Linked DNA regions of Medicago truncatula. The protein of the gene in region 1 binds, or shares a complex with, the protein of each later gene. Links are inferred from orthologs where the notes say so. Each region holds a gene or a part of one and is shown on either strand. Other genes may lie near its edges.

Region 1 (8,317 bases):
TAAACTATAGAAGTGTCAGGCTTTTTTTCTGAAGGATGTAGAAGTGTTGAGCTTGAAACACATATTTATATACCAAAATATACAAGTGTCTTTGCATATGCTCTAAGACATACGTTTACCAAAATATATACTAATACTTATTTTAGTATGTGTTTGAAATTTCAATGCTTTTAATAAAATGCAAAGGCATGAATCACTCATTCATTTTTGGTTAATTGCAGATATTCTTAACAACAACATTCTCTTTTAACTTCCCTAAAAAAAAAAACATTCTCTTTTAACTATTTCAAAAAATAAAATAAAATAAAATAAACTAAAAACATTCTCTATGAACTACCACTCGTGCATGGATCATGGCCTTCTTCAATTTCTTAACGACCATCTTGAAATCCAAATCCAACCTATCAATAATTTAAAATATTATTCAATTTCATGGCGTTCTTCAATTTCTTGAGTCTTCCTTCACAATATGATTTATGGAAACTATTTGGTACACATCTAATCTAATAGACTAATACACCTTTATTCTCATAAGCTTATCTCAATTGGTAGGAATAATGCATAATATATGCAAGGTTTAGGATTCAAATTCAGACACTACACTATCAAAAAAAGACTGATACACCTCTTACACATTTCTAGCAGGATATAGAGGATCAAGATGTTATGATAGATATGATATGATATAACTGTAATGTGATAAGCAAACAAAAATAAAGAGAAAAAGGATGTTGAAAATAGATGTACAAATATTTATTCACTTTCCGTAAAAAAATAAGTATATGATTAATTCTTTTTTTCATTTGTGAATACATGATTTATTCACTTGTTATATTGTTTACATTTTTCCAAAGGTTTAAACACATTTTTGACCCTCTAACTTTGCACTAATTGTAATTTTGGCCCCCTATTAAAAAAAAACACATTATAGCCCCCTAAGTTTCTCCCCTATTGCAACTTTCAATTTTGGTCATTTAAGATCAACTATTCAAGACAGTAGAAGATCAAGAAACCGGTCCCAAGCCACATTATTTGCCCTATAAATCTGAAATTTGCTCAACAAAACACCCACTTGTTTTTACAGTATTGAATGGTTGATTTTAAATGACAAAAATTGAAGGTTGCAACAGGAAAGAAACTTACGGGGCTGGAATGTGGTTTTTTTAATAGAGGATCAAAATCGCAACTAGTGCAAATTTATGGGGCCAAAAATACGTTTAAGCCTTTTCCAAAATGTTACTTGTAGTTGAAAAAAATAAAACATAAACTGTAAATTTGTTTTGCATGTATGAAATATGCCTTGACAACTTCAGATTCTAGGCCCCTAAAAAATACTTCAGTTTCTAACTAACTCTTTATTGATTTGATTTAGTTGATAAAAAATTGGTCCATATCCTATAATTGTGTTGGTTCCATTGTGATGTCAATGTGATAACCTTTTTAATGGACGTCTTATAAGTATTTATATAAAAAATTCTTTAAGCATTGAAGCGTGTTTTTTTTTTGTTACAATTGAAGCATGTTACAATCCAACTTACTTAAACTTTTTTTTTTTTTTTGGTCTTAGATGAAGTGGTAATCCATTGAAAATAAACACACACACAACTGTGAGGTCCCGGGTTCGAACCCGGGTCATGACGTCCGACCTTGCAATTTCGGCATTTGCCAGTTGAGCTAGGACTTCTAGACACTTAAACTTTTTTATAAAAAAAAAAACATATATATTCTATTTATATATAAATTAAGCTAACTTCATATCAAATTCAATTTGGGGGAAGAGAAATGGTCATCCTTGTCATCCATGCCTCGAAAGCCTTTTTTTTTTCTATGAGATTTTCTAATTTAATATTTTTTTTAACAACAAATATTAGTATTGTTAGTATTATATGTGTTGAAATTTTGGAAGTCTTACGACGTTGAATGAGTAATCATATTAGACTTTTGAGCAACCAAGGGAAACACTATTTTTACTTAAAATATTAGATGTGAGTGTTTTCCATTATACTCACTCCCTCCCTCTATTTAAGAATCCATTCGATTTTATTTTTATCCTTAAATATAAATCTCTTTTTAAATTATTAGATGTATTTATTTTTTTTTTTCCTAAACATACTCTTAATTAATACTACTAACTTGTCTTGAAATTTGAAAAATCAAATTTAATACATATACAAACAAAGGACAATTTAGTAATATTAACACACAAAACAGACACATTATTTACACCGACAACTTTTCATAAGAAATGTGAAAAAAGCAAAATGAGTTTATATTAAGGGACGGAGCGAGTATGTTGTTCAACTTCTCATATCTATCAATGTTAGCTTGTAATTCAGTTTTTTTTATTTTTTGTTACAGCTTGTAATTCAGGTTTGACAAAGCATAATTTTTTTTTAGAGGACCTAAAATCATAAACATACTTTATCATTTTCTTGCACTTAATTTCATGTGTAGAGTAAAAAAAAAGACTTTAATTTTAAACTAAATTTTCGGATTATTTGAAATCTTAGAAAAACTCAAGTTCCGAGTTAGAGACCAAGAGTTATTTAAGAATAATGAAAATATAAGTGAGATGAGTTTTATGCTCCGTAAAACTTTTCACACGTGCTTTTAATCAAATTATGTCAAATAGATGAATATAAAGAGTATTCTTGAACATAACTCAATTAATAACGGTATGGGTTGATGTTTGAATAAGAGATTTTTACTTATTCCTTTTAAAAAATGAATTCTAGTCTTTAAGCTATTTGAAAAAAAAAATAAAGATATTTAAAAACTAATCTTAAAAAGTGGCATCATGAAGTGATTTTGATTAAATCGATTTGTATATAACAAAATTAAATTGTTAATGTATGCAAATTAAATTAAAGATCATTCAACCAAGCTTAAATAGTCAATAAACTCCACCTAAAATGAATTGTTTGAAAAAATTAAAGTTCATTTTTAGATGAAATAGTTTTTTATCTGATTTTATTTACTTCTTAAGAAAACACTCTATATTAATAAAGTTTTTCCCTATATACCAAATGGTAAAAAAAAAAAAAAAGAAGAAGATAATTTTAAAATTTACATACCAACTTTGGCAGTTAAAAATGTGTTTTAATCTATGAAATTCGGATACGTGATACGAGTGTGGGTATGATACGATACGAATAAGTAAATACGCAAAAATTTAAAATTGAAGATACGATACGACTAAAATACATTAACAATTTTTTTATACAAAAACTTATATGAATGTAAAACATTCGAAGAAAAAAACATTCATTACTCTTAAAAGTCACAATTTTTAAAAATAATACATGTGATCAAAATAAAAAATAAAAAATAAAATTTTCATATAAATAATATTATATTTTCATTCATATATTATGATATCAACATAAGCATCATTAAAATAACGCAACACAAATTTTGTCTAATGTTGATTAATTAAATCTTCTCTCTCATTACCTTCATCCACAAAAATAAAATAAAAATTTAAGTGGTTCATCCAAAAATAATTATACTATTTTAGATCTAAAGTTGAATCATATACACTTCCATTGAATTTTCATAATATAGGTATTTGATTGAATTTTCATAATATACGTAGTTGTGAAGTATTTTATAAGCATCTTTATGTATTTGTGAAGTATCATCTAAGTATTTGCTAAAATATTTTTAAAAAATTAAAATAATTAATTCCAACACTCCATGGGCATATCTGTGGAGTATCCATATTTGAATCCGATATGGATGCGTCTCATGGAGTATTCGGGCTTCATATGATTTAATTTATGACTATTATTTTTCTCACCCTATCTACTTCTCACGCGCCATATAATTTTTATAAAATACCCATGAGATTTCAGATTATAAAATCTGAACACAGTTTGGATCTGTTCGGATCATACAATCCGAAATATGTTTATATATAATCAGCAATTAGAATCTCTTCCATTTTAGCAGTTTTGAATTTTGCTTTTAAAAAACATGTCAAATAAAATCATAAAAATACCACAAAAAAATTCTAAAAATCAAAATTAAATTAATGAAATTTTTTTTTTTCGAATTTTTATGAGATAAGAAAAATTGGTCTAAACGATGGAATTTTAAATTTTGAGGGACGGAGTCTCGTAAGAAGTCCCTTCTATGGGAATTTTGATCCTTGATTTTTTTTCTTTTAATTTTCTGGGGAAGTATCGCAGCAATCTGATCAAGTATTGCAAAAACCAGATTTTTGATAAGAACGACTAAAAATGATCTAAAATAAAAGGATGGGGAAGATTAATATGATCCTTAAACTTGTTATCCATTTTACAAAAATACTCATAGCCTATTTGGATGTGCGGTAAAAGTGTCTTTCTCTCGTCCCAGGGTAACTTGGCCGTGGTTTTAACAAGTTACAAATTGTAACTTCTTGGCAAATGTGGTACTCCACCGCTAAAACAAACACTGCATCAGAAGTTATGCTGGTAGAGTTAATATTATATAATCCGAACTATTTTTCTATTGAAAAAGGATGTTTAGGGGTGTCCTGATTCTATAATCCGAAAAAGCAAGGAACGCGCTCTTTTTGTTAAGTTTTCGGATTTAAAGAATCTAAATTGGTGAAAAAGTCATTTTTTTTTCACTCCATAACAGATAAAAAACTCAATTCAAATTATAAAATCCGAAATCACATAGACATTTTCCTACAAAAATAGGACGCACGAGAAATAGTTTGAGTGAGAAAGTAATAGTTTTAATTTTTTATATATAACATAAGATTAGTCATTAGTGTAAAGAGTTTATTTTTTTGAGAGAAGTGTAAAGAGTTTATATGTGGTTCATGAGCTGGTTTTATTATTGAACCGGTATAACTAAGAACCCGGGTTAATCGTTATCTTGTGTATAATTTTTTACTAGACCGACATTGGTTTATCTATATAAAAATCAGAAATTAAAAATTAACAAAAATCTCAGAACCCGAACGAAACACACTGAAGATTGAAAAGTCTCAAAGGAAAATCAAAATCGCAAATAAACCCTAAATCGCGTCACCGTCATCTTCAACCACGCGCCACTGATCCTCACTGCACCGTCCTCCGCCGTTCACAAGTAATATTTCTTCAACCAATTTGTTTCTATTAATTCTTATTTTAATCGACGTTAATTATCGATTCCATAAATTAGGGTTTCGTTTTTTTGATTTTTTGAAATTGATTTTTGTTGCAGAACCATGGCGGCTCTGAAGGAACTCCTTCCAGAACCAAAATCATCCACAACAACATACTATGATCATAGCAACGATCCATGGTTTAAGCAAAGATTCACTGCAACGGAAGAGGAGAAATCCGCTGCAATCGCACCCAAAATTGTACCACCGTATCTGAAACGATCTGGTTTTGTTCCACGAAAGGTTGAGGATTTTGGAGAAGGTGGAGCTTTCCCGGAGATCCATGTGGCACAGTATCCGCTTGATATGGGAAGGAATAAGAATTCGAAGCCGGGTTCGAAGATTCTTCCGGTTACGGTTGATGCTCATGGTAATGTTGCTTATGATGCTATTGTGAAGCAGAATGAGAATGCTAAGAAGATTGTTTATACCCAGCATAAGGATTTGATACCGAAGATTTTGAAGAATGATGGAGATGATGAAATGGAGGATGGTGAGGACGAGGATGCTCAGCGTGAGATTGATGAGACTATGGAGGAAACAAAGGCGGCGCTTGAGAAGATTGTGAACGTGAGGCTTAGTGCTGCGCAGCCGAAGAATGTTCCGAAGCATAATTCGGATTCTAAGTATATAAAGTATAAGCCTTCGCAGCAGAATGCGGCTTTTAATTCTGGTGCGAGGGAGAGGGTTATTAGGATGGTTGAGATGCCTGTGGATCCACTTGAGCCTCCAAAATTTAAGCATAAGAGGGTTCCTAAGGCTTCGGGTTCACCTCCTGTGCCTGTGATGCATTCACCTCCGAGGCCTGTTACTGTGAAAGATCAGCAGGATTGGAAGATACCACCTTGTATTTCGAATTGGAAGAATCCTAAGGGTTATACTATTCCTCTTGATAAGCGGTTGGCTGCTGATGGGAGAGGGCTTCAAGAGGTTCAGATTAATGATAATTTTGCTAAGCTTTCTGAGGCTTTGTATGTCGCAGAGCAGAAGGCTAGAGAAGCTGTAGCTATGAGGTCTAAGGTGCAGAAGGAGATGCTTTTGAAGGAGAAAGAAAGGAAGGAACAGGAGTTGAGGGCTTTGGCTCAGAAAGCACGCTCAGAGAGAATTGGTGTGGCTCCTCCGGCTGCTGCTGTTCCCGTTGTTTCGGAAAAGAGTGGTGTGGATGATGGTGATATGAGAGTTGATTATGACCACAGGGGGGATAGAGGGGATAGAGACAGGGAAAGGGAAAGGGAAAAGAACTATCCCAAGGAGAGTCGGGAAGAAAAAGAGGAGCGGCTGGGACGTGAGAAGATTCGTATGGAAAGGAGAAAGGAGAGGGAGAAGGAGAGAAGGATAGAAGCTAAGGATGCTGCCATGGGAAAGAAGAGCAAGATTACTAGAGATAGGGATCGTGATATAAGTGAGAAAGTTGCTCTTGGTATGGCTTCCACCAAGCAAGGGACAGAGGTCATGTATGATGAGAGGCTATTCAACCAGGATAAAGGAATGTCTTCTGGATTTGCCACTGATGATCAGTATAATGTGTATGATAAAGGCTTGTTCAATGCACAGCCAACACTTTCCACCCTGTACAGGCCGAAGAAGGATGTTGATAATGAAGCTTATGGAGGTGCAGACGAGCAGCTGGAGAAGATTATGAAGACTGATCGCTTTAAGCCTGACAAATCATTTACAGGGACTTCTGAAAGGGCACCTCCTAGGGATAGGCCGGTTGAGTTTGAGAGCGAAGAAGCTGATCCATTTGGTCTTGATCAGTTCTTGACAGAGGTCAAGAAGGGTAAGAAGGCCATGGAAAATGTAGGTGGGGGAGGAACTATGAGAGCTAGTGCCGGATCTTCAATGCGAGATAGTTCTGATGGAGGTTCTGGCAGGACTCGCATTGGATTTGAAAGAGGGCGTTAAGTGGATCAGTGTTGAAGGCTAATTGTTATCATGCTTAGGTTGGCATGTCTTTAAGTGGATTGTAAGGATAACGTGGTTGAGTTATTTATCTTACTTTTTCTTGCCCCAAGCCTATGGACCACCTTATAAGTGGTGAAATGTACTTGTATTTTGTTTTGAAACCTTTTTATGTTATTTATCTTTCCATGGAGTTATATTCAGTGAAATGCAATGTTCAAATTTTAAAGTAGATCTCCACTATTTGAATGAAATGTATTTGGCTGTTACAATGTACTCCATGATATATCTAGTTTTTTCATGCCTGATTACCGGATAATACATTTGCTTTCTGCCATTGCTGTTTGGTTTATGCCATTAATGGACTGTTATGGCTGGTAATGAGGATATTGACTACAGCTGTTGAGACTAGAGTGGAACTGTTGGCTTTCTGTTTTCATGTTATACTAATCGATGGTTCTCTACTAGAATGAAATGTAATCGATAGCTTTAAATTTATTTAACGAGTTATCAATTTTTTCAATACTTTATAATCCATTTGATTGCTTGTTATTGCTGTTTGAGTTATGCTATTGAAGGAGAAATTGTCAATTGAGGTGTAAAACAGTGTTTAATCATTACCTGACCCAAGGATTCAAGTGGATGTGTATTTTTTTTTTTTTTTGAACTAAGTGGTTGTGTTTTTTGATTTGATAGAACTGTGTATTAGTAACCCCTCCATAGGACAACATTTGATGCCCACAAAAAAGGATGGGGAACAATATTATTTTTAGTAGTTCTTGACAACTATGTTGAACTAACTTCTCTAGATTTGTGCACATGAAGGCTCAACCCCATCTGCTGTATATCGTGGTTTTACTACTTTATAGTCTTGGGAAAATTATATCAGACCATCATGATTGTAATGTGTGGAGTGTAGCCTGCACTAGAATTGAAAATTACATTAGATCATCTTTGCATACCATTTTCATCCAAGCTTCCTGTCAGATGGTACAGGCATATGATTTTTTGTGACATATTTCTATATTGTATAAAATTGGCTGATTAGGGTGTGCTAAATTGTAAAAAAATGCTTGGTGCTTAGGAAGTTGCTATTAATTCTAGTCATGTGTTTCAAAAGGTGGTGGATAATCCTGTCAATTACTTCTGTAGTGAGTTAATTTTTTCCAGTCCTGCTATTTTTTGAGGTAGTTTTCGTAAAGTCTAACAAATTTGTAAATTGTTCTAGCGCGAGGTTTAACTAATAGCCTGATGTAGAACTTATTGTGAACTGTG
Region 2 (8,051 bases), on another chromosome or scaffold:
AATGCTAATGGCTCTCAATTGTGCGTGCAAGATCTAGCCTGAGTGCAACAAATTTTACAATTAAAATTGAAGTAATGTGGCCTTCTGGGAGCATTGCTTCCATTTTTGTGGATAAATATGAATTGCCTTTTGGAATTAATTTTTTTTACCGTTCGGAGATTAGATTTGTTATTTTGTTTAAACTTTTACAGGTTGGCATTCTCCTTCGAGTAATGGGTTATCCTTCCAAAACAATAATTTACCTGGCTGGCTCTGAAACATTCGGAGGTCAACGTGTTTTAATTCCTTTGCGGTCCATGTTTATCAATACACTGGATCGCACTTCCTTGTGCAGTGAGAAAGAATTGTCTGACTTGGTTGGACCTGAACCACCTCTTCCTCAAAATATTTTTCGGACACCTCCTTCAAAAAGCGAGGAAGAACTTAAAGAAGAATGGAAGAGGGCCGGTCCTCGGCCTCGGCCTCTACCGCCACCTCCAAATAGACCAATTTACCAACATGAAAAGGAAGGCTGGTATGGTTGGATCACTAAGACCCCTACAGAACCTGATCCTTCACCTATGGATATGAGGATGAAAGCGCATAGATTACTTTGGGACACACTAGATTACATTGTTTCTTTGGAAGCAGATGCCTTCTTTCCTGGATATAACAATGATGGAAGTGGATGGCCATATTTTTCAAGCCTTGTCATGGGACATCGGCTGCACGAGACTGCTTCTTCTAGAACATACCGACCGGACAGGTAAGTGCTCTTTGGTGTTTGTCTCAATTTATTGATATTCATTAAGATATAAAAAGGTTTCATATAAATCATCAAATTTTCTTATTTTATTGGGGAACTAGAGTTGCCAAGTTACTGAGTTCAATGAGCGGGTGAAAGATGACATTATTTTGTGATCTCTTTCTTTTTGGGCTGGAACTATGTGGGGGAAAGGGTAAATATATAGAGCAACGAGCCACGTTATTTCCTTTTACTCCACTTCAGTAACCAACAATGCTCAGAGATGGCATGTTTTGTCTTGACTCTTGATTGAATATTTATCTAAAGAACACTATTACAACTTTCTTCGGTCCTATTCCAGACATCCATACATGTCAGTATTTAAACAAATGCTAGACAAGACAATTCTCTTGCAGCAGACCACAGACAAGCCTAGGGCCTGTCTTTGGCACTTTCTGGATAAATTTTATGCATATGTGTTGTTCTGTCAATAAATTGTGTGCATAGTATGCCTTCCTTCCTTTCCACCTATGTTTTTTCTAATGCGGTAATTTTTTATTGATTGTCTTGATGCCTTGAGAATTGCATGTATGTATGCATCTGAAGGTGATGAGTATGATGAACTTCTGTTTCCGCGCTTTGAACTTCTCAGCATTCTAATTCTTTGAAAACCATGTAGTTGATTGTGGTTTTGGTTAGTTGAAATTTCCCTTAATTCTACATTTTAGTGACCCTATTTCCTCATGTTTCTTACAGGAAAGTTGTTGCGGAACTTTTCAACATGAACCGTGAGAATTTGTACCATCCAAAACACAATTGGACAATTTTAGTGCAAGAACATCTTAACAAAAGTATGACCGAGGAAGGCCTCATAAGGCAATCTCGATTGTCAAAACCAGCAATGTTCCTTTCACATCCACTTCCAGAATGATCTTGTAGAGTAGCTTCTGCCAGCGTTGCTAACCGCGTTAGAGGTGAGGATGGCCAATTTCTATATGGAGGCGAAGACCTTTGCCCCAAATGGATGCAGCATGCTAGTCTGTCAGGTTCGATGGGGAAAGAAGGGGTAAAATCTGAAGACGATGGGCTCCCAGATTATGAGAGTAATGATTTTGTTGATGAATCTGAGTCTGAAAAAAATGGTGGTAAAACTGATCAGACTCAAGTCTGGGATCAAGATGAGGAAATGGATCCAAATGACTGATAGTGGACGTGCATATCATAACTACAGTCTATAGATATACAACATCCAATTTTTCTGAAATTTGAGAGGTATAGGTTATAAGGTGCTCCGGCAACGCACATGTCTCAATGCTATCTGTGCTGAGCATATTGGTATTCAAATATATTCTTTCATTAATTTTTTGGTTATTTCCATAGACAAAGATAACAATTTCTTTTACTTTTCACTTTCCACTTTCATCTGAATTTTTGTTGTAACATACATATTACGAACAGAAGGATAAAAAGATCAGCTGTCTGCATAATTGGAGAACAGATAAAGTTAGAAGCAGAGTTTTTGTTTAGAAATTAATCCATATATGGCTGCTATCCTTTTTTTTTTTTTTTTTTTTTTTACACCGCATGATCTCTCTCTTTTTAAAGTTCTTAGTGCGATGAATATAATTATTACTAACACGGCAATCCATGGAAACAAAGCTCTGAAACAAATAAGATCAAGAAACTTCGGGTTCCCGTAAAATCTTTGCATCCTCTCCTTCCAATCACTCTCCCATCCTCCCCCTCATTCAAGATCTGTGTCCGTCTGCCTTTCAATCTTTTTTCCTTACGTTTTCTCTACCTTGATATTCTCTCTAGAATTTAAAGACAGATAGACACATATTGTGGAGGCCCAAGAGGGAGAACATGCAAGGAAAAAATTAAGGGAGAAAGAGACAAACAAATATATCTTTGAATGAGGGATGAAAGAGTGATCGGAAGAACGAAGAAGAGAATTCAAAGTGTAAAAAAGGTCAAAAATATAAAGTTTATCTGCACTTTATATTAAATATATAATTTTATGATAAATAATTGTTGTTTACAATAATAATAAAAAATCATTTTTAGTAGTCTAAGGCCCCGTTTGGATTGGCTTATTTTGAGCTTATGTGGGCTTATCTACTCCCATAAGCCTTTTTAAAGGCGTTTGGGTAAATAAATAAAAATAGCTTATCATAGTTTCATAAGCTGCTTATGCCATATTTTAATAAGCCTAAATTTTCAGCTTACCCTCTGGCTTAACAAGGAGCTTATGAATTTATGTAACCTCTTTCGATTCTCTCTAGATCCACTTTTTCAAAACATATATTTTAATTATAATTTTTTTTGAAAGAATATTTTAATTATAATGTTAGTTATCTTTGGCGGTGCATCAGTAACAAAATTGTTATATACTTATCTTACTAAAGTAACAAACGTAACTAAGATTTTTTTTTTTAAGAAGATTTTTATTATTTTTTTTGTTACGTAACAAAATGAAACTGAATAAAAAAACAAATTTAACTTGTCTTTTTTGGGTAACAAACTGCACACTAATATCAATATATATGATATGTTTATTTACACCTCTAATGTTAATTTTATCTTATATGAATATTGATATTTTTTTTAAGAACAAATATTGATTATACTATATATATATATATATATATATATATATATATATATATATATATATATATATATATATATATATATATATATAATTATAATTAATATGTTATAATATTGTTTTTTTACACCTTGATTAATTTTATCAAAAAAAATCTTGATAACTGTGGTTCAATTCTTTGATTTTTTTGTTAAATTAAAAATATTTAAAATTTCGATAATTGCTTATGTAATGTCACATCCAAACACTTCAATTTATGTAAGTACTTTTTAGTGTACATATCCAAACATAAATAACTTATCAAGTATAAGAGCTTATGATATAAGCTCTAATGTTATAAGCACTAATGCTATAAGCATCTATATAAGATGTTTATCCAAACGGGGCCTTAATCTATGTAATATTGAAGAGACCTAAATATTAAAGTGTAATATCGAATAACCATCATTTTAATCTTGAACTATCAACTTCTCACCAATTTAGTCACTAAACTATAAAAATATAAAAAATATTCTCTAAACTATATAAAATTCATCAATTTAGTCCATTGGTTCGGTAGGTCGGATTTTTGTTTTTGCTTCGTATATTTTTTGCCAGACAGTAAAAAGGGTTTTGGTTTAGGTATGAAGCGAGTTTAGATTGTCTTTTAGAAACCTGTGTTTCTTTAGATCAACAAAATATAAGATGAAAATGATTTAAATGCACGCCACACAACACTCTTTTAGAAACCTGTGTTTTTTTTTATCTTGTATATTCGGCCATTTGGTTCATGGATAGAAGATTTGAGCATTGCATCACATATTTGGACATGTAAGATTGTATTTGGCTCGTATATTTCATTGCATAATCGTGTATATATACAAGGGTATCTTAACTATCAAGACATTGTCAAATCATAACTGTGATTTCTCAATCAATATAAAATATATTTACACCCTACATATAAATGATATTTACATATTAATCTTATAATTTATGGTTGGTCCTATCACAACCTTACAAAACTGGTTTGTGATGCGATGATTGTCCCCGCTTATAAACACCTGTTCATGTTGTCTCTTATCTAATTTAGATTCTTTAAGAATAAGTAAACTAATTGAGTCTCAAAATTGTGAGCGTCGGACAATTTGGGATCCTAAATTACAAAATAGCAAATTTCTCCCTCAAATTAAATAATCCCAATCAAAATGCTCCTTTTGTTAAGTGGTTTTGTTAGGGTGGCAAGATGTAAGTGTATATGTCCTTTTGAAATAGCAAATTTCTCCCTCAAATTAAATAATCCCAATCAAAATGCTCAAAAAAATTACGACTATTTCTCATCCTTTCCCCATTAAATAAGGTATTATATCGGAAGCACGTTTTCAGTGGTGTATTTCATCTGAAAATATACCGTCGTACAAATTTGAGCATATAAGGGGTGCGATTAGCAATCATTAACAAAGGATGGGCCGTTTTCCTTTTCTATTGAAGCCCAAACCCGTTTCGGATCCATAGATTTAAACCCTAATCTCTTGCCTCAAACTCTTCGTTTCTTCTCTCGATTTCGTAGGGATCTTGTTCCAGCTTCGGCTTCAGTTTTGCAGCGATTGGGTGCTCAAGCTGTAATCTTTCTGGTATGGCGTGCATCAAATTTCTTTTGATTTGTTGAATTTGAATTTGTTTCATGCCTCTATTGAATTTTGAATGTTCCCGTTTTAAATTAGGGTTTTGAGGTAAATTTTATCTCATTTCCATCGTTGAGCTCCAAGTTTGAATTTTTTTTAAAATTCGCAACTTGGGTTTTGCCTGCCCACCTTGTATGCTATTGGGTGCAATTTCTGAAGACTCTGCTTAGTTATCACGTTAGAATTTTGAATTTTTATTGTTCTGTATATCTTAGTTATTATTGGAAAATAATCTCCAATTTAGGTGATGTGGTTGCGTTTTAAGTTTGTGTATTTCACGGGGTGAAATCTGCAGACGAGATTGAAGAAGCTGGTAAAAGGGTAATGATTCTAGTTAAGGATTTGTGAATTGTATACATGGGTATTTCAGATTGTGAGGTGAGGGTATAGGAATGTAGTACCAGTTACTTGTCCCGGAGAATAAGCAGCTAAAACAAGTGTGTGTAAAATTAACAAGGGGTAATGTTTACAGTTGAGGCACCAGCTCAGTGGTAAGAGCTTAGCCTTGTAACCAACGGGGACGGTTGTAAAATGGCCATTAGTGCTAGTTTAATCAATAAAAAAAAGGGTAATGTTAGGGTTTGATCTGTCAAAGCGGTTAAACGAGAGATGAGTAAGGTAACTTGTTGAGTATATGATCATAATTTGATCTCATGACACAAATGCTTTCTTTATGATAGATGACAAGCGCTTGGACAAATTTGAGCTTTGCAATCAAACATAGGGAATATAGAGTGGGAGTGGGAGAATCGGGGTGGAGTTGTGGTTATTTTTTTAAATAATTGGAGATTCTTCCTCACTCTCAGAAGGATTATGCTTGCTAATTTTCTGGAAAGGATGAGGAGAGCAAATTTATTTTCAATATTGTTATAGCTTTGGAGCATCTTTGGAGCAAATGAGCAATGGAGCTTGTGGAGCACGGCTCTCTTCAAGGATTGCTCTCTTGGTTTGCTTCATAGTTTTGGTTTTATTTACTTTTGTTTGTGTAATCATTAGAATGATGATAGTTAGGCGTTTCAGGTTTAGGCGTGGCTTCAGACAGTAATTGATTTCTACTTGTTGATGAGCTTCCGTTTTTTTGTAGAACTGTACAATTTCTCCAATCAAATATGAGTAGTCGCTTTTCTCGCACAATCTATGTTGGCAACCTGCCCGCTGATATAAGAGAATCAGAAATTGAAGATCTGTTCTACAAGGTTTGAGCTGCGTACTTTTCCTGTTTTCCATGTTATGGTGCCTTCAGTTCATGTCTTCATGATATTAGTTCATGATATTTTGTGTTTTGTTCAATTTGTTTGGCTACTGAATTTTTCTATATCTTCCTATTGTCTGGAACCTACCTTTACACCATTAGGAGTTTTGAACTGAAAATTTCTTTTACTCAAACCTGCATTTCTACTTCTCTATTTATTTTTTGTTTAATTACTGGAAATCAATTACAATTATGTTAACCGATTAGTAAAATTCATTAAACATATATTCAATTCAGATGATAACAGTTAACGAGAAAAGGTTTGGGTAGTTGTTTGTTGTTTTAACTGACAAGCAGATAGTTTGCATTATTCAATTCTTATGACTTATGAAGGATAAAGAATCATATATTCTTAACTACTTACAGCCATGTATTTTTTCTGTTGACCTCCTTTTCCTTTGAATGGACTATAGTTTGCTTAGCTTTGTTAACTTGGATTTGGATTTTACCCTTAGTTATATCTGTTGCTTGATTCTTATCTTATACGTAGCTTCAAGGGTCAATGTTTGAGGTTGATTGTTATGTACTAACATAGTCATGTTACAATGGTTTTCCATTATTCCCTTAACAGTATGGCCGCATAATGGAAATTGAATTGAAGGTTCCTCCTCGCCCTCCATGTTATTGTTTTGTTGAGGTATTTATAATTACTCTCTTATATATTTCTGTCTTGGCGACACTCTTTACCCTTTTTCTCACTACTAGATTACTTGTATTTTGGCTTGGTAGTTTGACAATGCTCGAGATGCTGAAGATGCAATTCGGGGTCGTGATGGTTACAACTTTGATGGTTGTCGATTAAGAGTAAGGGACTGTTCCAACTTTTGTCTTGTGAGGTGAAAACTTTCTTCGGAATGCCTAATCTGTTCTTGTTGTAGGTGGAGCTCGCCCATGGAGGCAGAGGGCCATCATCAAGTGACCGACGTGGGTATGGTGGTGGTGGCGGCGGCGGTGGAAGAGGCGGCGGCGGTGATAGTGCTGGTGGGGGCCGTTTTGGTGTCTCTCGCCATTCTGAATTTCGAGGTGTGTCTATTTAGGGATTCCTTTTTCAATATAAAAATGATAGGGAACATATGCTGAATGGTATTTTGTTACCAAATAAAAAACGCGGAATTGCATTTTTATTTTTCATTTAGGCTGTTCACCCATTAAGCTCCGACTAATATCATGTTTATCATTCTTTAAGGAAGAATTTAAATTTTCTTTCAAAAAGGGAATTTAAATTTCCCCGATTCATGGCATTCTAAGATTTTTCATGCTGAGAACTCTTGAACCATTGTCCATGACTCTTATCTGCATGTTTATGAATTCACAATTTTCGATATTTGTTACTGTATGTGCTTGTTTGCTTTATGTGATTCATAAATTACAAGTGATTTTTGTTCTACTTTTATGCATATTATTGCCAATCGGCAATAATTATTGAAGATATTTTTGTTTTCTAACTTTTCGTGATTTTCTACACACCATAGTATCTTAGTCTTTTTTGTTTTTGTTTACTACAGTTATTGTTCGAGGACTCCCATCTTCTGCATCCTGGCAGGATTTGAAGGTATCAAAATGTTCATAAAAAATAACAAATGAGAGATACTCAAATCATCAGCATAGCACCTACAATTTTAATATTTGGTTTCAGGATCATATGCGAAAAGCTGGTGATGTTTGCTTTGCTGAAGTTTCCCGTGACAGTGAAGGTACACATTTATTTTGGTTTTTGTTTTGCAATATCTTTATCAGCTTTTTACCTTTTCTATATTTATGCTGTCGTATGGTGCATGTTTTGTATTTTCTGCTCCATCT
Region 3 (8,783 bases), on another chromosome or scaffold:
AAGTGCAGCTGATTTAGCACATCAAAAGACTAAACGTGGTCAACGAAAGTTGAGGAATGGGAGAAAGAACTGTCATAGCATCTGAAAAATACCTCACCACACCATGAATGATGAATCTAGTGTTGTAAAATATGTCCAAAGCATCTTATCTTTTATCTTAAAATTAGTTTTCCATATTCTCTTACTTTCATGATTTGTTATTTTTTACATATTTCATTAGGATTAAGAGTCTAGTAGAGTAATACAGTAATAGATTAATATAAATAAAGACTCGTGTTTTGACTTCTGTAGTTAACATTCAACATACCATTCCTACTTCTATCATAGTTCTGAGTACCCCCACCTTCCCTTCCTCTATGCCTAAAACTAGCCCAATGACTTTAACAAGAAATATGAAAAAGCATATCTTCAAGCATGGCACCTATGCATACTCTTAGTAAAGTAGCTTAAAAATTGGCAGTCCCCAATGAACGCCTTGAAAAATTAGCAGTATATGTATCCCCATCACAACAATCATTGATGAGATCTACCGCTCCAACAAAAATCAGTCTTCCAATCCTGTTATATCTAGTATGGTTTTCAGTAGGCTAGCTAAAATCAATTAGTTAAATAACTTTTAGACACATAGAAAAGTTTAGTATAGGAGCGGGAATCCTGACAATAAATCTCTGGAGCATCAATACTATGACAACAAAGGTCAAGGACACAGTCTGAATACTATTTCCTACTCACGAAATACATGGATATGACATTATAGAGAGAAAAAAAATACATCATTGTTTCTTCACATCAGCATAAATACAAAATAGGCTTAAATAAGCCACAATTCTATTGTCAAATTAATTCAGATAAAGCACCCATGTCACACACTATCATTCTATTGTCAAATTCAAGCAAAAAGGACAAATTCTAATGTGGTGGAAGAACAATATGCATCACAAGTGCAGGTGGAACAAATTTCATATCTAGCATCTAAAACATGCTTCAGCCATAAACAGCATTAGGTGTGCTCAGTATAGGTTTCAAGAAGTTAATACAATTTGTAAAAGTAATATTACCGTGGTAGGAAGACCTTTGCCCTCCATAGCTCCCTCCTGGTCCTCTGTAAAATACAAAAATCATGCAAATACATATAAATGGACTTTTTTTTTTGGTGGGCGGTCTTTAAATGTGACAAAGTAAGATATACTACAGATTTGTAATCTTCTACATGAGGGCAGACAAAGCAGAGAAATCAAAAGACATACCTGGACCTACTAGTCCTATGACGCATCTCCTCTGGCCTTTTTCTTGTCTCTGCAGCCACAACAACAGATATTTCCCTTCCAGCAAAAATTTGTCTGTCCATATGGTACTGCGCCTCAGAGGCCTCATATGCATCCACAAACTGCACGAATGCAAAGCCTCGAGGTTGTCTGTACGGGAAAAAACAGAGCTTCATTCTAACACTGCTACAAAAATATTGGCAGAGAAAGACTGCAGAAAATGCTGATTAGGCAGACTTCGCATACCACAGTAACCACCTCAAATCACATTACATAGTATAGCTTTCTTTAGACAACCTATTAATGGCTCTCTTGAGACATGCACACAGCAGTGGACGCTGAATTACTAAAGCCGCTAAAATCCAAAGCTTAGTTGTGACTGGGCCTTATCTTTACATTCAAGTAGTAAAGTGACTTGAAAAATTCTTCAACATTCTTGTTGTATTTATAATCACTTGAATTCAAAGCTTCCCACAACCACAAAATAAAAAAAACCTCCTCACAAAGTCTTCAATAGGACAACCAACCAACTTGCATGAAACTTGTATTCATTGAGTTGCGTAATTATATAGATTCTCTATCTTGGTATGACATTAACACACTTGGAAACCAACAAGTTAAAGAGTGAGTAGTTCTCTTCAAATGTGGGGCTTGGGCTTGTTTTAACTTCAATTTCAAACCAACATACCCCCTGACAAACCAGTCAAAATTAATTCATAATGCAAAAGTTTAAACTTATAAACCAAAAAAAAATTACATTTTGGTCCCATCTATTTTCAAATTCACAATTTTGGTCTCCCCGCATATTATCTTTTACAGTTTTAGTCCTTGCACTTTCAGACTTTGGTCCCTCAATTTTGAGTATTTTAAGTACTTCTGGTCTCCAACATAACGATTTTTGGGGACCAAAAGTTTGGAAAAACCGTAATACTAAGAGACCAAGTGCCTGTTTGGATTGGTTTATATGAACTTATCTATTGGAATAAGTTGCTTTAGCTTGTGACACTGTTCATAAACTGTTTTCAGCTTATTTTCATAAGTTCTCCAAGATATCTAATGAAAATAGCTTATAAATTTTACGAAAAGAATTTCAATTTATTTTACATTCTGCTATAGAAATATCTTATACATAAGCATTTGTGCTTTAAGCTGCAAATCAGCTGTTAATCCAAACAGCGCCCAAAAGTACAATAAAACAATTACAGAAACCAAAATCCCAAAAAATAATTCGCAAGAACCCAAGTCATGAAAAATAAAATAGGGAACCAAAATCGTAAATTTAAGAAAACAGGGGGCCCAACACCAAGACATGACACAGAACAGACCACCCCAACCCAACAATCAACCTGTCAAATCTAACTCAAATCTGAAAAACACAAACATAACAAACAACACACAACAACAAAACACAAACAATAAATATGAATAATTACGCAGAGTTGATCACAAATGTTAGCTCACCCAGAGTAATAATCCTTCGGTATGTAAACATCGCGAACCGGTCCAAATCGCTCGAACGGCGCTCTCAGCTCCTCAGGTCTACAATCCAAAGGAATGTTCCTCACCAAAAGACTTCCATTGTTGCTTTCTCTACGTCTACCACCACCTCCACCACCACCACCATATCCCCTCCTACCACCACCACCTCCACCGCCACCCCTACCGCCGTATCCTCTCCGTGGAGGACTGTAGTAACCTGGACTGTTCCTCCGCATCTCTTAACCTAACCCTAATTTCAAAATTAACAAAGAATTAATGCAAATTAGCGTGAATTCGAATGTGTTTAGTGTTGTTTGAAACGAATTAAAGATTGGAATGATGAAAAAGATTATGAATTTAGAAAATTGTTACCTTGATTTGAGTGATTAGAGAGAAAAGTACCAAAAAATTCGTATGCACGGGAAAGAATAGAAAAGAAAAAGAAAGCGTTGAGAATGTGTTTGTTTTTTCATCTGAGAAACCTATTTTAAACCCTAGATTAGATTTCACGTGACCACTCCAAACGCACCGTTTCATTCATAAGTAAATATTATATATATATTTTTAATTATCTTTCTTTTTTTGAGGGAATTTTTTTAATTTACACACCTCTTATTGAAATTTTTGAGTTTGGTCATTCACAATTTTTTCTGTAAATTAATATGAAAATATCATGGATTATTTTAAATTTTATTTTTCTTAGAGAATAAATTAGTTCATGAGAAAAGTGTGATTCTAGATCTTAGTCAAACTCATTTCAAATAGATTTACACAAACTTATATGAAGTACTTTTTTTTTGTTACAAGTACATTTACATAACTTAATTCATGAACATTCTAAGTTATTAGATTTTATTTTACTTAAAATCAATTCAAGCACATTTGTCTAAACTCAGTTCAAGTACATTTTTATAAAGTCAAAATTATAATTTTAATCTATAATCTTTAAATAAAATATTCATAAACAAAGATAAATGAAAGATTATAGATTTAAAGATTGAGAGGCCATAAGAAAATAAAGTCATGAATTTGAAGCTTAAAAATTCATATGCAAATAGATAAAAAGGACAAAATTGAAATGAAAAAAAAGAGATAAAAGACCAAATTATTGCCTGAAATTAAGTTAAAAGATTAAAATTATAATTTTGCCTTTTCATAAACTTAGTTCAAATATGAGTTACTAGATTTTACTCAAACTCAGCTAGAGAACACTTACACAAACTCAACTACGTAAACATAGTTCAAATGTGTTTACATAAACTTATTTCATGTACCATATATACACTTTGTTTTTCCTTTTTTGAAGTCATGTATACTCTGGGTTGCTAGGGTTTACTCAAACTCAATTCAAGTATGTTTACATAAACTTTTATGTACGTTTATGCAAATTCTATTCTTCAAGTACTTTATGCTAAGAGTATTTTGAGTTAGAAGTAAGCAAGAAAAAAGGTGTTGTAATTACCAAATGACTGAATTATATTACATTATGAAATTTCTACCGGAATCCAAATTCTATTTTTTCCTTCACAATGCCAACTTCTTGGAAAGGCTTTCTGCTGATTTTGAGCAATGCAAGGAGAGGGAACAAGATTTACCCTTAACTCAATGATAACAATAAACAATCCAAACTCCTTAGCTCATTGAAGAGCTTGAAGAAGTTCTATGGCCTCACCTTCCTTGACGGTTCCCATACAACTGCTATACCATAAAGCAGCTGTTTAGGATCTGAATTCGTGAGATTTTGCATTTATAATTTGCAAAAACTAGAAAACTTTAACATTGTAAAAATGACATGGTGCATAGTGAACCACTTAAAGGATTTGTATTCCAAACAATGCCTATGTTTTAACAGCAACAAAAAACAATAAATTAACAAAGGGGGAAAAAATCTGTTTTAATAGTCAGATTTTTACAAGCTGGATCAGCAGTTGCGACATAAATAAATAAATAAATATATAATGCAAAAGGGGTCCAATACATGAAAAATATCTCCCAAGTGCACCATATGAACTACAAAGTCCTAATCACTTATAACCAACAATATTTGCTTGTGGTAGTAACTAATTTCCAGTAGGTTGTTTCTTATGAAAATTTCTCTTAGCTGCCAAAGAATCTAAAGACTTTCTAAGTTTCCAAACCTGCATACCACAAAAATAGAGCTAACAACCACATAGATGTTTCTCCACATTTCTCTGCTAGCAAGAAAGTTGACATTACAACTCAGGCAGTAACAGGAAACACCTCTATCCCTTCATAATTGGTAATTGAGATTATACTCATTTTGGTTGATCAAACCTCTCATTGTTTTAGTCCGAACTTGTTTAGTATATGCCATATAAGTAGAAAGTTGATAACGTAAGCAGCCACGAAACTGACACTATCAACCTGTAACTGCAAGGTCCATATTTGGAAGCTGGGATTCCAGATTGTTGTCAGATTCTGTGACCAAAGGAGTTTTCTGGAAATTGTTCCGTAGCTGACCACAAGCTGCATTTGCGTCCAGTCCTCTGGTTTGGCGTACACTAGTGGTTATTTTAGATGACTCCAAAGCATTAACAAATGCTTGCACCTACCAAATTACAAAGTATGGATTAAATACTCTAAAATTATTGAATACATCAAGACATAAATTATAAATCGTAATCAGAATGAATGAAAAATAAGAAAATTATCATACTGCTTTTCTGTAAGGACGGCGAAACTCAGAGCCTTCTATTGGATTAAAAGGTATAAGGTTGACATGATAACCACTGCCATATTCATGTAGTAGTTTAGCGAGTTCTACTGCATTGTCTACTGAGTCGTTGATTCCGGCTGCTCAAACATAATGCCAGGAAAGTGGAAAATACATCGTAAGAATTTCATTAACCTTACTGTACAAAGGAGAAACAAGAATTTGTTGGAAACTTTCTGTGTACCTAAAAGTGCATATTCAAAGGAAACCCGTCTACTTGTTTCGTGGAAGTATTCCTTGCAGTCTTTCATAAGTGCATCCAATGGGTAAGACTTTGCACTTGGAACAATTGTCTCCCTTAGTTTCTGGTTAGGAGCATGTAGGCTGAAGTAAGATACAAAAGGGAAATCATATGTTAGAAAGAGAATTATTTACATGAACGAGTATGAAAGAATCCACTAAAACAAGCCACCGAATGATATATTTTGCAGCCACAAATCAGACCAGACCAAACACCAGAGTATGAACAGTGAACGAAGAAAGGCATGAAATAAAGGCATATTGCCTATTCATTGTGAAGTTCTATTTCTTGACTGACAAGATCAGAATCAAGGACAATTACCTCACAGCTAAAGTGGATTGAAGTTTATGAGTAGCTAACTTCTTTATTGTATTTGGAACCCCCACGGTGGAGATAGTCATCATTCTTTGCCCAATTTGTATATCCTACAAGAAGCCCAACCAAAATCCAACATTAGCACACTTACATGCTATTACTATATGCTCTCTATCATCATAATAAAATGAAATATAAAAGGTGAAATAAGACCAAGCAAAATGTTATTCTGATCAGTAGTGTCAATCACCAATCGCAGAAGATAGCTGTTTGTTCAAATTCTGCTATGCAACAGTGCTATAGCACAAATATAGTTGCTATTTAACAACATTTTGCACTAAATAGCGTATCACGGAGCAAAAGCGATTAGTTCAAATTCTGCTACGCTATATTGTTATACCCGCTACTTGACAACACTGATGCTGATACATGATTTCTTTTGACGGATGAGTATATGTATGCATAAATATTTTTATGCATGTGAGACTGTCTATTCTGTTCTATCTCGTTTATCCTTTCCAATGGAACTAAAACATATCACTTTTTACGTTGCAAGTGTATACTGTTCTGCTCTACTTTTAAGTTTTAACATGTACCAAACATAAAACATAACTAATTTGCTCTCTTATGTTCTGGCCTGTTTTAATTTCTATAAAACTTCTGGAAAGAAAAAAAGAAGATCCATAAAAAAATCCATGTCCCCTCCTCCTCACGAAAAGATAATATTACGTAAAACAACCAATTCAGTAGCAAGAGAACCTAACACTTACTAAGATGGAATCAAATTCAGTAGAGTAATATTAGATTTTTATATTGGGCTTAGCTCATCCTTACAAAACCGATCTATAAGGTGAGGAGTACCACTCATTATAAACTCATTTCAGGCTCTATTTCTATTCTATGCAGATTTGGTTTTTTTCCCCAATAAGTAACAACCAATGAGTCCCAGAGTTTAAATGATAATGTTAACCTAGTTAAGAGCAAAGATGGCAGATGCAGGTTTAAACTCTAAAAATATCATATAGAGAACTGTTACAATTACAAGCAAGCATTTGATAAGGAAATAATGTCACATATGATAGGCATTCATTCACCTTATTCAAGCAACGGTGTGCCTCAAGTACTGCCTTCAGGTTTAACATTGGTTCACCCATTCCCATAAAGACTACATTAGTCACCCTGCGTTTGAACACCTCCTCAATGGCCAAGACCTGTTTAAATAAAGAGCTCGCTTAAAAACAATTGCGAACCCGAAAATGATCTCATTGCTTTATTTGATCTTTTTCCTTTCTTTTCTGTTAACATTTTTATTTCTTTTAATTAAATCTAAATTTACAGATCACGTGGGAAATCTAACATCAAACTACTCTAATGTATGTATGGACAGAAACCTGCTCAACAATTTCATGGCTCCGAAGATTCCTAGAAAAGCCGCCTTTTCCAGTGGCACAAAAAGAGCATTTCAGAGGGCAACCTACCTAAATATCCAAATAACAGAAGGACATAACAAAAACAAATGGAAAATATCAGTTTCTTGATCAATAACACAAACATTACTGCAAAGAAAGAAAACAACAACTCATTCATCGATGATTCAAAAGTAAGTCAAACACCTGTGATGAGACACATGCTGTCAGGCGAACTGAACCCTTCTCATCTTCAACAGGAATACCAACAGTTTCAATCAATCTGTTGTCTTCCAACTTTAATAACAACTGCAAAATCAAATTCCAACAAATAGAAAAACAAGAATCAGTGCATAAAAAAAAATCAAGGAAACATCAACAATCCCATCCTTTAACAAGCAAGTTAATATCCTACCCTTCTTCTTAAGAATACCAAGTAAAACACCAAAAGAAAACAACTTGAATCATTGCCGGAAAAATGAGAACAATGTCAATGGAATCAAATTACATTTGTGTTTAGAGGTAAACATCTCAAGATATAAAGTGGTCACTAAAACAGAAATTTAAATCATTTAAAAAAACTAAAAGCTACAGAGCACAACAATACAACAACGTTAATGCTAGAACCAGTGCCACACAAGTTTAAAAAAATATAAAGTTTTTCTTATTGAAAGTATAGCTTTTGAAATAAAGAATGTATTGAATGTTGTGATACCCCATAAATCAGGGTAAGGCTGCGTACAATACACCAAATGGTGGGACCCCTTCCCGGACCCTGCATATGCGGTAGCTCTAGTGCACCGGGTTGCCCTTTATACCCCATAAAAATGGTTAGCAGGAACCATAAATTAAAAACAACAACAATAGGTTTGCTGAGCTGTGATTATATCTTTTACCTTCACAGTTCCATCCGTTGCAACAACAGTGTTGAAAATTGGAGACCGTCCCACCTTCCATCCAGCTTCCTCAAGCTCATTCCTAAATGCCTGAGGCACTGCAATGCAAGCAAAACAACAACACCACCACATCAAAAAGTTAGTACTTTCATTGTCAAACACCAGACACTACACTAACACGAACAAAACCGACACCAGTGATAATTTTATAAAAGTAGAAGTGATTGAATATAGCCACATGGGTCCATGTCGTGTGAATAACACTGACTCAAATGAAAGTGATTGAATGTAACCACCTGTGTTAGTTGTTGTATTTTATTTGGAATTTATTTTAAAGTTAATTATTAAATTATTATTATTCTAAACCGTTTTCTTTTGACCAAGTTATTTAGCTGCACACTAATAGGGCATACAGTTTTGCAACGTTATTATATTTTAATTGGCTAT

The links.
Region 2: SNW/SKI-interacting protein (region 1) and serine/arginine-rich splicing factor SR34A share a complex: the UniProt entries of both Arabidopsis thaliana proteins name them as parts of the spliceosome. The link is inferred for Medicago truncatula from reciprocal best matches to the Arabidopsis thaliana genes SKIP and SR34a.
Region 3: SNW/SKI-interacting protein (region 1) and serine/arginine-rich SC35-like splicing factor SCL30 share a complex: the UniProt entries of both Arabidopsis thaliana proteins name them as parts of the spliceosome. The link is inferred for Medicago truncatula from reciprocal best matches to the Arabidopsis thaliana genes SKIP and SCL30.

The regions. Positions count from the first base shown.
Region 1 is NC_053043.1:11,530,848-11,539,164, reverse strand, and holds SNW/SKI-interacting protein, read left to right. Parts: upstream 1-4,920; 5' UTR 4,921-5,082; intron 5,083-5,199; 5' UTR 5,200-5,203; coding exon 5,204-7,045; 3' UTR 7,046-7,361; downstream 7,362-8,317. UniProt on the Arabidopsis thaliana protein: Splicing factor involved in post-transcriptional regulation of circadian clock and flowering time genes. Associates with the pre-mRNA of PRR7, PRR9, ELF3 and GI, and is necessary for the regulation of their alternative splicing and mRNA maturation.
Region 2 is NC_053044.1:45,763,540-45,771,590, reverse strand, and holds the start of serine/arginine-rich splicing factor SR34A, read left to right. Parts: upstream 1-4,792; 5' UTR 4,793-4,948; intron 4,949-5,679; exon of another isoform or gene 5,680-5,945; intron 5,946-6,083; 5' UTR 6,084-6,108; coding exon 6,109-6,195; intron 6,196-6,822; coding exon 6,823-6,888; intron 6,889-6,980; coding exon 6,981-7,055; intron 7,056-7,129; coding exon 7,130-7,274; intron 7,275-7,756; coding exon 7,757-7,803; intron 7,804-7,887; coding exon 7,888-7,945; intron 7,946-8,051. Other genes in the region: protein EMBRYO SAC DEVELOPMENT ARREST 30, read left to right, coding at 192-745, 1,481-1,655. UniProt on the Arabidopsis thaliana protein: Probably involved in intron recognition and spliceosome assembly.
Region 3 is NC_053046.1:35,351,399-35,360,181, reverse strand, and holds the start of serine/arginine-rich SC35-like splicing factor SCL30, read right to left. Parts: upstream 3,260-8,783; 5' UTR 3,117-3,259; intron 2,995-3,116; 5' UTR 2,981-2,994; coding exon 2,727-2,980; intron 1,416-2,726; coding exon 1,248-1,415; intron 1,103-1,247; coding exon 1,059-1,102; intron 1-1,058. Other genes in the region: probable dual-specificity RNA methyltransferase RlmN, read right to left, coding at 5,125-5,313, 5,422-5,558, 5,663-5,802, 6,041-6,144, 7,129-7,245, 7,426-7,512, 7,648-7,749, 8,337-8,434. UniProt on the Arabidopsis thaliana protein: Involved in intron recognition and spliceosome assembly. Probably active at the 5' splice sites.